Danio rerio: one gene and its partners. The main gene of each other region encodes a partner of the protein of the gene in region 2 in a complex. Links are inferred from orthologs where the notes say so. Each region holds a gene or a part of one and is shown on either strand. Other genes may lie near its edges.

Region 1 (4,403 bases), on a different chromosome or scaffold from region 2:
ATGTAGGCCTATATTTTTGACTTGGATTGTAAACATTAACGAAGTCCCAATGCACTGCATGTTAGTAATTTTTTGTTGCTATATAACCTCACTGTTTAATTGCTTTTACTGTGTTTTCTGGTGTTTCCTTGACTCATACTTTCACAATTTACTTTGTCTGTAAAATGCGTACAAAGAATGATGTTCATTTTACTAGAAGGATGACTTATGTAAGGATATCGGAGTATAAATCATCTGTCTCGTGAATTTTGACCTTTCTGAAACTTACACAACTTCCCTCAAAATCTAACCAGAACCTCTGATTGTGAAACAAACCAAACATAACCACTTTTTAGACAAGTTACGAAAGAACAAGCTTTCGTTGCCTCATATAACAACCAAAACGTTTGAGATGAACCACAGAGTATTAGGTCAACATATAATTCAATGACTTTCAGGGCCAACTTGTAAATTAAAACAGGAATTTAATTTATGAGTCCTAGCAACTGATAATCATGTTTATGATAATGAAAGTTAAGCAGATACAGACCAGAATGGCATCCAGCGCATGATCAATATGGCTGAACTTGGCATCTGCTCTCAAGCTCAGAGCAGTGAGAAGGTTCTCTTGAGCTTTTTCCCATTTTCCCAACTGCGCCTGTGCCAGTCCAATGTTGTGCAGCACCTTAATATTACACAAGACAAAAAGACTGCTTTAGAGAATGAACTGAGGTGACTGTTAATGTCAGATGTTGCAATATAGGAGAAAACTCTTGTGAAAAACCATCAAGTCAGAAATGGAGACGTGTAAAATGTCACTCACATCACAACTATTAATAAGTCAGTAAAGTTGAAAAAATATCTGGACTTGCCTCACAAGCATAAAGTTTATATCTCAGCCCCAGAGGTGTGTAATCAATTAGTTGATTCCCTCGTAACTGCTTAAATGCTTGTTGGAAATCCAGAAGAGACTCTTCAAACCTGGAGAGAAGGTTAGGATCATCAGTTTATTAAAAGTGGAATGAGATATTTTGTGATCGGCTCTTAAAGCGGCGGTCCACTACTATATCACATTTTAAACTTTAATTGATGTGTAATGTAGCTGTGTGAACATAAACAACATCTCTGACTGTAATACGCTCAATGCAAAGAGAGACATTGGCTTTTACAGAGTTAGCTTAGCAAAGCCGACATTGAACAAAATTTGAGGACTACAAAAAATAAAAATAAAATCCAGGTTAGTGAGATCACAAATGCTTCAGGTTACATGCATTTACCCTGCAGAGCGAATGGGCGTGGCCAGAGGCGCTGTATGTTACAGCAAAAAGAGATAAAATGCCATCCAATAACTGCAATTTTCACAGAGCATCTTCTGTTACTGTATTTAAGCTTCCAAAGGACACGGCACAAGGAATTCCAGAAAATTATGAAAATATATAGCTCTAGCATTTGACAAAGGAGAACTTCCTGAATCTCTCCCAGTTCAGTGCTGGTTCGGCTAAAAACCAACCAGCAGCTCCAACCATAATCAAAGAAGCTGTGGTTTGAGAGCCACAACCTGTAAGTGTTTTTATTTGAGAAAACTGATCTATTACATGCACAGTTTTAAGCGTTAACATTATGTTGTAGTGAGGATGTAAACCGCTAACAATTTAGCTACAAATTCATATTTCTCCATCAAATCTCTGTAAACAGTCACAATCTTTTGCAGCGCTACAGTGTAACTCCATGTGGACGCTTTCCCTGTGTTCTACATCTGAAATAACAAACTTGCAAAAAATATGCAAATGTTTCATATTAATTACACACATGCTTATTCTGAATATATGTGAAAGACACTTGTTAGATTTTATTTTAGAGAGCAGGCGTAAGGTTCTGCTGTGTCCTCTTCATTTTCTGTTTGATTCAGGCTCAAACTGATTTGGCTCTGACCGACAGTATTTACAAAGCAGAGACACAGCGTGCAGTATTAAAGGCGTGATGCTTTTCCTGGTTTGCAAATTATGCACATTATGTTAGCTGACCAATCAGAGCCTCTTGAGGGCGGGCATTTTCATGTTAGCTGAGTATTAGCGTATAATTAAGATATATGAAAAATAATGTGATTTTCTACAAATCAAGCATGATCACACATTGCTTTGCTTCTTATAAACACATCCAAGCCTTAAAAATACACTCTAGACCACTCTTTTAAGTACCTTGAGCCATCAGAACAGCATAAAACGTTTACTTAATAGGATGGTTCACCAAATTTAAATTTAAATTCTCGTCATTTACTCACGCTCAAGTGATTCCAAACTTCTGTTGTACACAAAAAAAGATGTTCTGAAGAAACCGATAGGCATATCCATAGTAAAATAGTATGGAAGTCAATGGCTGATTTTTTTTCAACTGTCTTCAGTTTATCTTCCTTTGTGTTTAATAGAAACATTTGGGTGAACTGTCCTTTAAAGTGTCATGACAAGAGGTAATGATCTTACTTTTCCTTTTTATAAAATGTAACTCCTCTCTGAAAAAAGGCCACGGCCAGGTGTTCATCTTTGCCAATGCTTCCATCAAAAGCCTGCAGGTGTGAAACAGAAATACATTTCCCATAAAGAATAAAACTACTTTTACTTCCTTTTTACAGCCACAAATATTTTAGACTTTCAAAATACAATTCAAACATCAAGTAGTATAAAACATTGATTCAGCCATACAAGAGTACCTTTTCAGCTTCATCTAAGTCACTGTTGTTCAGACAAAGACAGCCGATGTTGAAAGCGATCTTGGAGTTTTTCTCCTCGATACTGAGGAATATCCTGAGAGCAGCGTCTGGGTCTCTTTGCTCCACACAAGCCACGGCCTCATCCCACTGGCGAAGGGTGCTTACGAAGGACATGCTCCCTCAAAACACGGTGAGCAGTGAACACATGAATGCTGCTCGTCTCTGTTGTGAACTGAGCAGAGGCAGTCTGAAAGAGAACAACCCCCAGCCTCTGCTCTGAGAGAGGAAGTGATCAGCTTCACTTGCTTCTGGATTTGCATTTGCCAGTTGAGTAAGTCCACATTTGTGGAGTTATTGTCCCTGTTATATCTTCGATTTTAAAGCCATGATTAACTGATTTTAGACTTCTGCCTAAATTTAAACCCTTTGTGGGAAATCAGATGTTTGTAACAGATCATGCAGCTTGACCTCTTGACACCTTAATTTCACATAATAGAGCATGGCCTTTTCTCATATTTATAGCACTGAGAAACAGGAGGTCAAGGTTGAACAATTTCTGTTTTAAAAAAACAATAAGAATAGACTTCAGAATGATTTTGCTTGTATGAATTCAAAGGTGGCATCACAGTGGCGCAGTGGGTAGCACGATCGCCTCACAGAAAGAAAGTTGAGGGTTTAAGCCTTGGCTGGGTCAGTAGGCATTTCTGTGTGGAGTTTGCATGTTCTCCCCATGTTCAGGTGGGTTTCCTCCGGGTGGTCCGGTTTCCCCCACAGTCCAAAGACATGTTGTACAGGTGAATTGGGTATGGTGTATGTGTGTGAATGAGTGTGTATAGATGATTGCCAGTACTGGGTTGCAGAGAGAAAGGAACAAACTGTGTAAAACATATGCTGGATAAGTTGGCCGTTCATTCTGCTGTGGCGACCTCAGATTAAGCCGAAAGGTAGAGGAATGAATGAATGAATAAATTGGCTGTCCTATATGGGCGTTTCCTAGTGTTGGGTTGTGGCTGGAAGGGCATCCAATGCATAAAATATATGCTGGATAAGTTGGCGGTTCATTTTGCTGTGGCAACCCCTGATGAATAAAGGGACTATGCTGAAAAGAAAATGAATGAATGAATTCAAAAGTGTGCCAATAAGGTGCAAATAAATTGTACTTAAAGATCAAGTATTTTAAGTGTACTTTATGTATGCTAAGTGAACTTGTATAATAATGTACATTACTAACAAACAATACTATTTGAAACTGAATTGACCCTTTTTTAAATAACCTAACACTATTATTTTAACTTATTAAATTAAAAATGTTACGTCGTTCAAATTGTTAAATAGACTCCTTTATTACTCCAACTTCACTTTGAAGCACAGTAAAACATAATTTTATTTATTTTGCAAGTATAATTGCACATGACGTGACCGTAACACCAAACTTCTAGATTAAATTTTGGCTATTGTTTTTGCTCTAACTTTTCTGTGTTCCTAATTAGACATTAATTTACATGCGATTTGTAACTTAGCCCCAAACTAAATGATAATTTTAAGCAATCCCATCTCTCTTGATGCTTGATTACCAACGTCTCTCTAAAGTCTAATATTGTGTACGTGTAATTTTATGTACATTTCCTAGAGTAGCCTATATAAAATAGGATGTTTTAAGTTTAAGTATAGGATTGCTGTATCAATGTATTTTTGTAAGCGCACTGTTGTATCCAAG
Region 2 (4,213 bases):
ATGTATCCATTTCAAAAACTTAGCACAGTAATTGCAGTAATTGGGAGAGTACTGTATATAAATATGATGCAAAAATATATAAAACTTAAATAAATACATATAAATACTCATACAATTTTTAAAAAATCTAAATAGTAAAAAACTTTCAAGGATTTAAGATGCTGATGACCAATAACAATCCTGTGAAAAGGATCACAGCTCCGCATACTCACTAGATCAGGGGTACTGTTCCTGGAGATCTACCTTCCTGCAGAGTTTAGCTCCTACCCTGATCAAACACACCTGAACCAATTAATTACGACCTGAACAACACTTGATAATTACAGGCAGGTGTGTTTAATCAGGGTTGCAACTGACATCTGCAGGAAGGTAGATATCCAGGAAAAGGGTTGGCCACCTCTGCACTAGATGATGCTGCAACCTCATCCAGTGTTGCCGTTATTAATCCTCATTCAAGAACAAAAATCAAGATATCAGAATATATGAAAATCTGAATCAGATATTTTCCATTTATCTTTATTGTTTATATCTACTTGGTAGATGTCAGATGAAGTTTTTTTTGTTTGTTTTCATATAACATTTCAAACAAGTCATCGAGAGGACACAAAAGGAAATTAACTTCCTTGTTCCTTGTAACAAAACATTTTAAAACAGGCTTTCATCATTCATACATGACCATCTCATGATTTTGTTTTCTTTACTTTAAAAATCAGAGATAAATAAAATATTGTTTCTAGACAACAAAAAAAAAGACACAGAAAAAGGTTACACATATAACAAAAAAGTGGAACTAAAATGTGGCATTATTTTAGACACAACAAATGAGTGACATCCTAAGTTTTAAGACAATTATATCAGATGATAATGCAGTTTGTCTGTATAACTCATCATAAACATTCCATATTACTGTTACTTGTTGCCATCACCTCTTGAACTATTTACACTTTTAGGAAATCTTTATTCGTTGATGGTGACAGACATAGGATTGTCATATGCTGCAGCATCCAGGTTATCTGCTTTTTTACGTCGCAGTTCAGGGGGAGGTCTGGGAGGTGGGTTTTGAGGAGGTTCTTTGATGCTCTCCCCAAGACGTTTTTTTGTCTCTATGTGGAGTATAGGCTCCCAGTGCTCTCCATGAATAGCTGCCTATAATGCAAAAGTTCACAATCAAAAGCTAACCCTAATGTTAATACTCATAAACACCTATTTAGAAAAACATGGGAACATTTGTTGAAACAGCATTAAAATATCTGCTCTGTTTAATGCAAATGGAGAATGTAAATTAATTTTCAAAGAATGAGCATATGACAAATTGTGACATCAAGATTTTTTATGCTCTCTACACTTTTATTTGTTTCACAGAAGAAATGTGAGTTTCCAACAATCAGTGGTGAAATAATAAAAATTTCTTTAGGGTGAACTGCAACAGTTTAAAAGTGAAAAGGGGTTTTTGAAGAGGAAGTAAGTGTGCAGGAAGCAAACTAAGGTTTTAGTTCCCCAATCTTCATTTTGTTACAGTTACATTAATTGAGTCATGTTGTTTGCCTTATCTTCAGATAAATAAGCATTTATTTATTTTGCATTTATTTGGATGAACTTACAGAGAGGTAGATCAAACTTGCCATTCCTAGACACACACATCCCAAAACTGTGGCTAACATGAACCCTCCAGGGACACAGAGCCTGCAATGTAAATCACACACAAAGATAAGACACCAGCTTATACAGCAAAAAAAAAAAAAAAAATGTTTTCGAAATCATCTTAAACAAAAAAAGGGACATGCTTGACAAGGCGTGACTGACGACTTACGCAGCATGTAAGAAAGCTCTGACGTAATAGTTTCTGGTCAGGGGTCCAAAAGATTTTACACACACTGTAAAGCAGTACTGACCGCTGTAATTAAACATAAAAACTTTCTTTTAAGTAATGCATGGTTCACATAAGGAAGTTGTCACTATACAAATGACTCAGTGTTTTTTTTGGTTATGAATTGTTGGTGGTGTGTTGAAATCACCAGCCTGTACTTCCTGTAACTTGGCTTTCATCAACACTTACCTTCTCTCAATACTGGTGCCTTTGCCCCGTTTGCTGCGTGGATATTCAAGCAAACACACAAACACACCAGCAGCACTTTCACAGTTAAGGTCTCAATAAATAGACTGTGGTACTTTATTTTTTTAATAAGGCACTTTACTCACTGAAAGACCGAAAGAGCATAAACATTCAATCATAGCATGTAAGGATACATCCCAAAAGCTGCAAACTGCCAGCCTCTGAACTGACCAGCCACCCCAACGATTCCACCAGTCAGATAAACTTTAGGAAAAAAGATTTACACATTTCATTTACAAAGGCCTGTATTTGACCTAAAACTATATATATATATATATGTGTGTGTGTATATGTATATGTATATATATATATATATATATATATATATATATATATATATATATATATATATATATATATATATATATATATATAAAACATAATATTTTACAACTCAAAAATAATCAATTAAATATGATATTTTTGGTTTTAATAACATAATAATAAAGCTCAAGCAGCCTACCAAACCCCATATAACACTTTAAAAAATGTAACTGGTAGCCTACATAACAAGAACTTATGTTTAAACAACATTATATCCCCTATCTTCTTTTTAAAGCTCTATATTGTTTTAATTTAACTGTATTCACATATCACAATGTAACACAATTACTCGCTTAAATGTTCTTTAGAACCTAAATATGAAAAGTGTATTTGTGGACTTACTGAGTCCAGCAGCCAAAGCTTGCTCGTTGGCCCACATCGCCCACTCAATCTTCGCCATGATCACTTGAGTGCGTGCTGTCACTGGCAAATAAACTTTTTTTCCCAATTCATTTTTATAAAAGAAAAGTGGGTTGTGACCAGCGTAACAAACCCAACCCACTGTCACTTCCGCATTTGCTGTATTTTATGAAGAGAAATGAAAGTCCTAGAGCGGACGTATCGTGTGCTGTAAAAACCACAGGAGGCGGGACGATGGTAAAAAAAATAACATTCTCCCAATAAAAAAGAACATATGTGTTTGCATGTCGCGAGTTTATATCTATGTGTGTGTGTGTGTGTGTGTGTGTTAATGTGGGTGTTTATCCAGGGATCGAGTTAATACGTACGTATGTGCGTCGTGTGTATGAAAGTGTTTGCATCTATCATGTTTATGTACGCTCATATGCACATTCCACCGAATGGGTATCGTGTATTCAAATTTAACAAACAAACTGCATTTACAGGCAAATGTTTATCCAATCAATGATTTTATATATATATATATATATATATATATATATATATATATATATATATATATATAAAACACATTTACCCCTCTGATTAACTTGGAACATCCTTTTTTATTATTATGCAAGAAAGAACATTACAAAGATACATTATGAACAAAGAGATAAAAAGGGTTACATAAATAAAATTCCAGCAAATTATGGGCCTACAAGTTTCAATTATTTACACCAAAAAAAAAAGTTTTACATGCAATATAATAGTTTGAGTGTTTTAACGAGTTCACAGATAAATCAAAGTCCTTTCTGAATTAAAAAAAAGTTTTAACATTCATGAATGTAAAATTTATGAATGATTTTGACTGAGACTTCAACAGCTTTATTAGATAAAAATTTTTTTTTTTTTCTACAGAAGCCAAAACTGATCCCAATTTATGTCACCAAATATATTTTTCTAAAAACCTATGCAAGCAGGTAAAGAGATCCGAGATATATTAATAACCAAGCGAATAACTTTGTTTGACATATAACTGAGAAGAGTTTGGTCATCAAAAAGGTTTGTGTTGTCAAAAATAAAAGAATCTGAGGAACCATTGGCGCTAGATTTGACTAAAGGTATAACACAATCAGGGATTGCACCAAAATCTATGGCATTTGGGAGAACAGGAAAAGAAAATTAATCATATTTTTCATATGGAAAAGGGACACCACAGTCATCTAAGAGCTGACTAACTAAAAGTATATTTTTATTTAACCAGTTATTTAAAAAAAAAGAGATTTATTTTTATAATCCCAAATAAAATAGACACAAGGAGAAAAATTATAATTATATGTAAGGGACCAATATATTTAAGATAAACTTAATGGTATTTTAGAGATGTCAAAACTACAGTGCAACAAAAAAAATGTAAACCCCCAACTGAGCTAA
Region 3 (3,654 bases), on a different chromosome or scaffold from region 2:
GATACAGGGACACTGGAGCGTTTTAAAGCCATGAAGATCAGTTGATTCATCAGCAGATCACTCGTCTGTGTTTGCATTTGGTAAACATCTGTTAAGTCCAGTGAACTGATGACCTTCACGGCCAATCACAGTCATTTCTGTTGAGCACTGGTGAATACTATCTACGGCAAATCATCTGCGTTTAAGACGCGCACAACAGTGCTTAAATGTTAGCGGGAAATTTACGTTTTTATTTAAATTTTAGTACCCAAATTCAGTATCGTGAAAAGTCTAATATAGTGAAAGAATTAATTATTTCATTAACTTGAACTTGATAAATGTCATCTAAAACATGTGTTTGGAAAAAAAAAACTTTAGCTAACTAGTGCCATTTCTCTTAACTTAGCTGAAAATTAGGTCCGATATCCCTTTTTATTTTCACCATCCATTCAGAACGAACCTTCGGTTCACTTGGAAATTGGTAAAATGATAAATTTGTGTCTTTTTTTTGCTAATAAGATATACAGCGAGGTACTCAACAATATGCCATCGAAGGCACCATTCCTGTCTGACTCCAGGTGATACTTCCGGGTTTCTTTCCCCTGCAGCATCGCTGTTGCTTTTAAAATGGAGGCCGCATGTCTATAGCTGGCAGTTCACTCCTCTACTATGGCAACCTCTAAAATAGAGACTAAGTCGAAGGAAAATAAATGAATTTCTTTGGAAGCCATTTTTCCACAAAGGGAAATTAAGTCAGAACTGTAAAAGAGCTGATAAATTTGCATCTCAGAATTCAGGTTTATTTATTTATCTTGAAATAATGACTTTTCACACAATTTAGAAAAGAATATTAATAACCTCAGAAATCGATCATTTAAAAAAAGTCATTGCACTTCTGATTTTTTATTTAAATGCATGTTTATTTTATCAAAATTGTCAGCTTAAATCTCCCAATTCTGATTTTCTTCTTGAAAAATATTTTAATTCACAATGCTGAGATAAAAAGCCATAACTTATTACATATGGTAAAAAATAGGACTCCATATATTTCTTAATATTGTTAATATAGTTAAAACTGTTAATATTGTTAATTTTTCTTAATTTTTTTTGATAGAAACCATGAAACAGATATATTTTTCAGGATTCTTTGTTAAATAAAAAAGTTTTAGAGAACATTATCTAGCTAAATAAGTTATTTGTAATAGTGTAATATCCTGTAATGTTTTGATTAGTTTAATGCATCATTGTTGCATGACAACATTTAAACACACACAATAAGATTTGAAAAAAAGAAAGAAAAAAAAAGAAAAGTGGTATGAGTAATTTTATCCAGGGTTACAAAAAGGACAAATCCAGCTCTGCCACCTCACCTATTTCTTTGGCCAATGCGAGACCCTGTGGGTAAGTGATCGGTGCCAGTTTCTTCTCCTTCAGCTTCTCGATGGTCTCCTTCTCATCTCTCAAGTCAAGCTTGGTGCCAACCAGGATAATTGGAGTGGAAGGGCAGTGATGCCTCACCTCTGGGTACCACTGGAGGGAGCAGAGGAGCAGATCAAAACACTTCATTCTCGGCTGTTTATCAATCTATCTCTTGACTAGATACAGCCTTTCTTTTTGTCTTCTATAAAATAGACGAACATTAAAGCTATTCAGAGCTTCTTTTTCTTTTTAATGACCAATCCCACAATCTCTTTGTAAGTTTGTTATATAATAAAGAATGTCCTGGGAAATCATGCTGCCTTGTTTCACTTCGTTTTAGGATATGTCAAAGTCTTTTTGTTGAAAAGATCTTCTCAGAAAGCACTAGCTGAATCACTGGTTAAAGCCGATGCGCATAAACAATGTCAGTGCTCTCTCAGAAAGTGTGAAAAATGCAGAGCAGAGCAGATGGAGAAAAAGCTTTGAAAAGGTGTGCAAAGACTGCTGTACTTTTCAAGGTCCGACCTCTGAATGTTGGCTTTTAATCTGACAATCACAAATACCATTGTTTCCATACACAAAGCAGCCCATGCAGTCACACCGAGCAGACCTTGAGTGGTCAATGGATGTTTCCATAGCAAGTCCACAGTGTTCTTGCCATCGAAACAGGCTAGCAATCATCCAGCAACATACTGTTATGTTGTGAACGTTGAAGTTAAATAAATAAGAACCAATGATATAATAGCTGACAAATAAAACAGACAATGTATTGTGAGCTATAAAGTGTACATAAAGTATTACTTTAAAAAGATATTGAGCATCATGTCAACACCACAGCCTACCTGAGGATTGTTGCTGACCACTGTACACAAATGGCCTCCACAGTCACCGGATTTAAATGCAATAGAGCACCTTTGGGATGTGGTGGAATGAGAGATTCACATTATGGATGTGCAGGCAACAAATCTGCAGCTATGCGTGATGCTTTCAAGTCAATATGGACCAAAATCTCGGAGGAATATTTCCAGTACCTTGTTAAATGTATGCCACGAAGGATTAAGGCAATTCTGAAGGCAAAAGGGGGTCCAACCTGGTACTAGTAAGGTGTACCTAATAAAGTGACCGGTGAGTGTGCATAACATTTCAATTAAAACAAAATATTGAGAGGAAAAAAAATACAGCCTACAATATTTCAACTACATTTGATATATTTTTTAGTTTCTCATGATTTTCCTCTTTCTTAAAGTGTTATTTAAAATATTTCCTTAACAATAATTTGGCTGTAAAAATGTTTGGAATGTTATCTTGGAATGTTATTTTGTTATGACTCCTCCAGTTTGTCTTTGGTACTGACTAATCTAATGTAAATTAGATATTAGAAATTAGGTATTGCTACCATATATTATAGGTAAATGAATGGCTAGCAGGTTACATGATACATGACAACACAGTGAGTCCAGATTGCATGAACACTACACAAAATCATTCTAAGAGTTTATTTATATAGGTGATCGCAAATAAAATGACTAATTAAAAACAGTAAATACTTATTATGGAGCGACACGGTGGCCTCACAGCAAAAAGGTCACTGGTTTGAGTTTCTCCCACAGTCCAAAGACATGCAGTACAGGTGAATTGAATACACTAAATTGGCTGTAGTGTATTTGTGTGAATGAGTGTGTATGGAGGTTTCCCAGTACTGGGTTGCAGCTGGAATGGCATCTGCTGTGTAAAACATATACTGGATAAGTTGGCTGTTTATTCCACTGTGGCGACCCCAGATTAATAAAGGGACTAAGCCGAAGGAAAATGAATGAATAAATGAACACTCATTATTTAATCTGTTCAACCTTTTTAAAATCTTGAAATGAAAGTCCATTAATCTTTTCTTTCCTGCTTTGATGCACAATCAAAAGATACAGAAATGGCTTTTTAAATAGGAGAGGGGCGGTGCCTGATTTTGTCAGTTGTTGTAGTTATATAATAATGCTGTGGTGTCACATGACAATGTGCTCATCCCATGTAGTAATTACTGCAATTTCTATAAGACAACACATCTTCTTACTGGTTCTTTTCTCTCCCTCAGACGTGGAATGTTGAATTTATATGGCAATACTATCAATGCCTAAATACATTGGAAGCAATAAGGTGAAATTTGTAAACATGGTACAGCTCTCAGAAAATCACCAGTTAACAGGTTAACAGTTAAGTTGTAATTATGAGTTCTACAAGGACATTTTTTTCTAGTCGAATTCT

The links.
Region 1: cyba (region 2) and ncf2 share a complex: the UniProt entries of both Homo sapiens proteins name them as parts of the phagocyte NADPH oxidase complex. The link is inferred for Danio rerio from reciprocal best matches to the Homo sapiens genes CYBA and NCF2.
Region 3: cyba (region 2) and rac2 share a complex: the UniProt entries of both Homo sapiens proteins name them as parts of the phagocyte NADPH oxidase complex. The link is inferred for Danio rerio from reciprocal best matches to the Homo sapiens genes CYBA and RAC2.

Annotation. Positions count from the first base shown.
Region 1 is NC_133182.1:41,684,588-41,688,990, forward strand, and holds the start of ncf2 (neutrophil cytosol factor 2), read right to left. Parts: upstream 2,903-4,403; 5' UTR 2,861-2,902; coding exon 2,687-2,860; intron 2,543-2,686; coding exon 2,460-2,542; intron 961-2,459; coding exon 852-960; intron 665-851; coding exon 530-664; intron 1-529. UniProt on the Homo sapiens protein: Subunit of the phagocyte NADPH oxidase complex that mediates the transfer of electrons from cytosolic NADPH to O2 to produce the superoxide anion (O2(-)).
Region 2 is NC_133193.1:32,665,584-32,669,796, reverse strand, and holds cyba (cytochrome b-245 light chain), read right to left. Parts: upstream 2,852-4,213; 5' UTR 2,838-2,851; coding exon 2,780-2,837; intron 2,318-2,779; coding exon 2,248-2,317; intron 2,132-2,247; coding exon 2,057-2,131; intron 1,895-2,056; coding exon 1,811-1,894; intron 1,684-1,810; coding exon 1,602-1,683; intron 1,147-1,601; coding exon 958-1,146; 3' UTR 496-957; downstream 1-495. UniProt on the Homo sapiens protein: Subunit of NADPH oxidase complexes that is required for the NADPH oxidase activity that generates, in various cell types, superoxide from molecular oxygen utilizing NADPH as an electron donor.
Region 3 is NC_133178.1:28,282,576-28,286,229, reverse strand, and holds part of rac2 (ras-related C3 botulinum toxin substrate 2), read right to left. Parts: intron 1,510-3,654; coding exon 1,350-1,509; intron 1-1,349. UniProt on the Homo sapiens protein: Plasma membrane-associated small GTPase which cycles between an active GTP-bound and inactive GDP-bound state.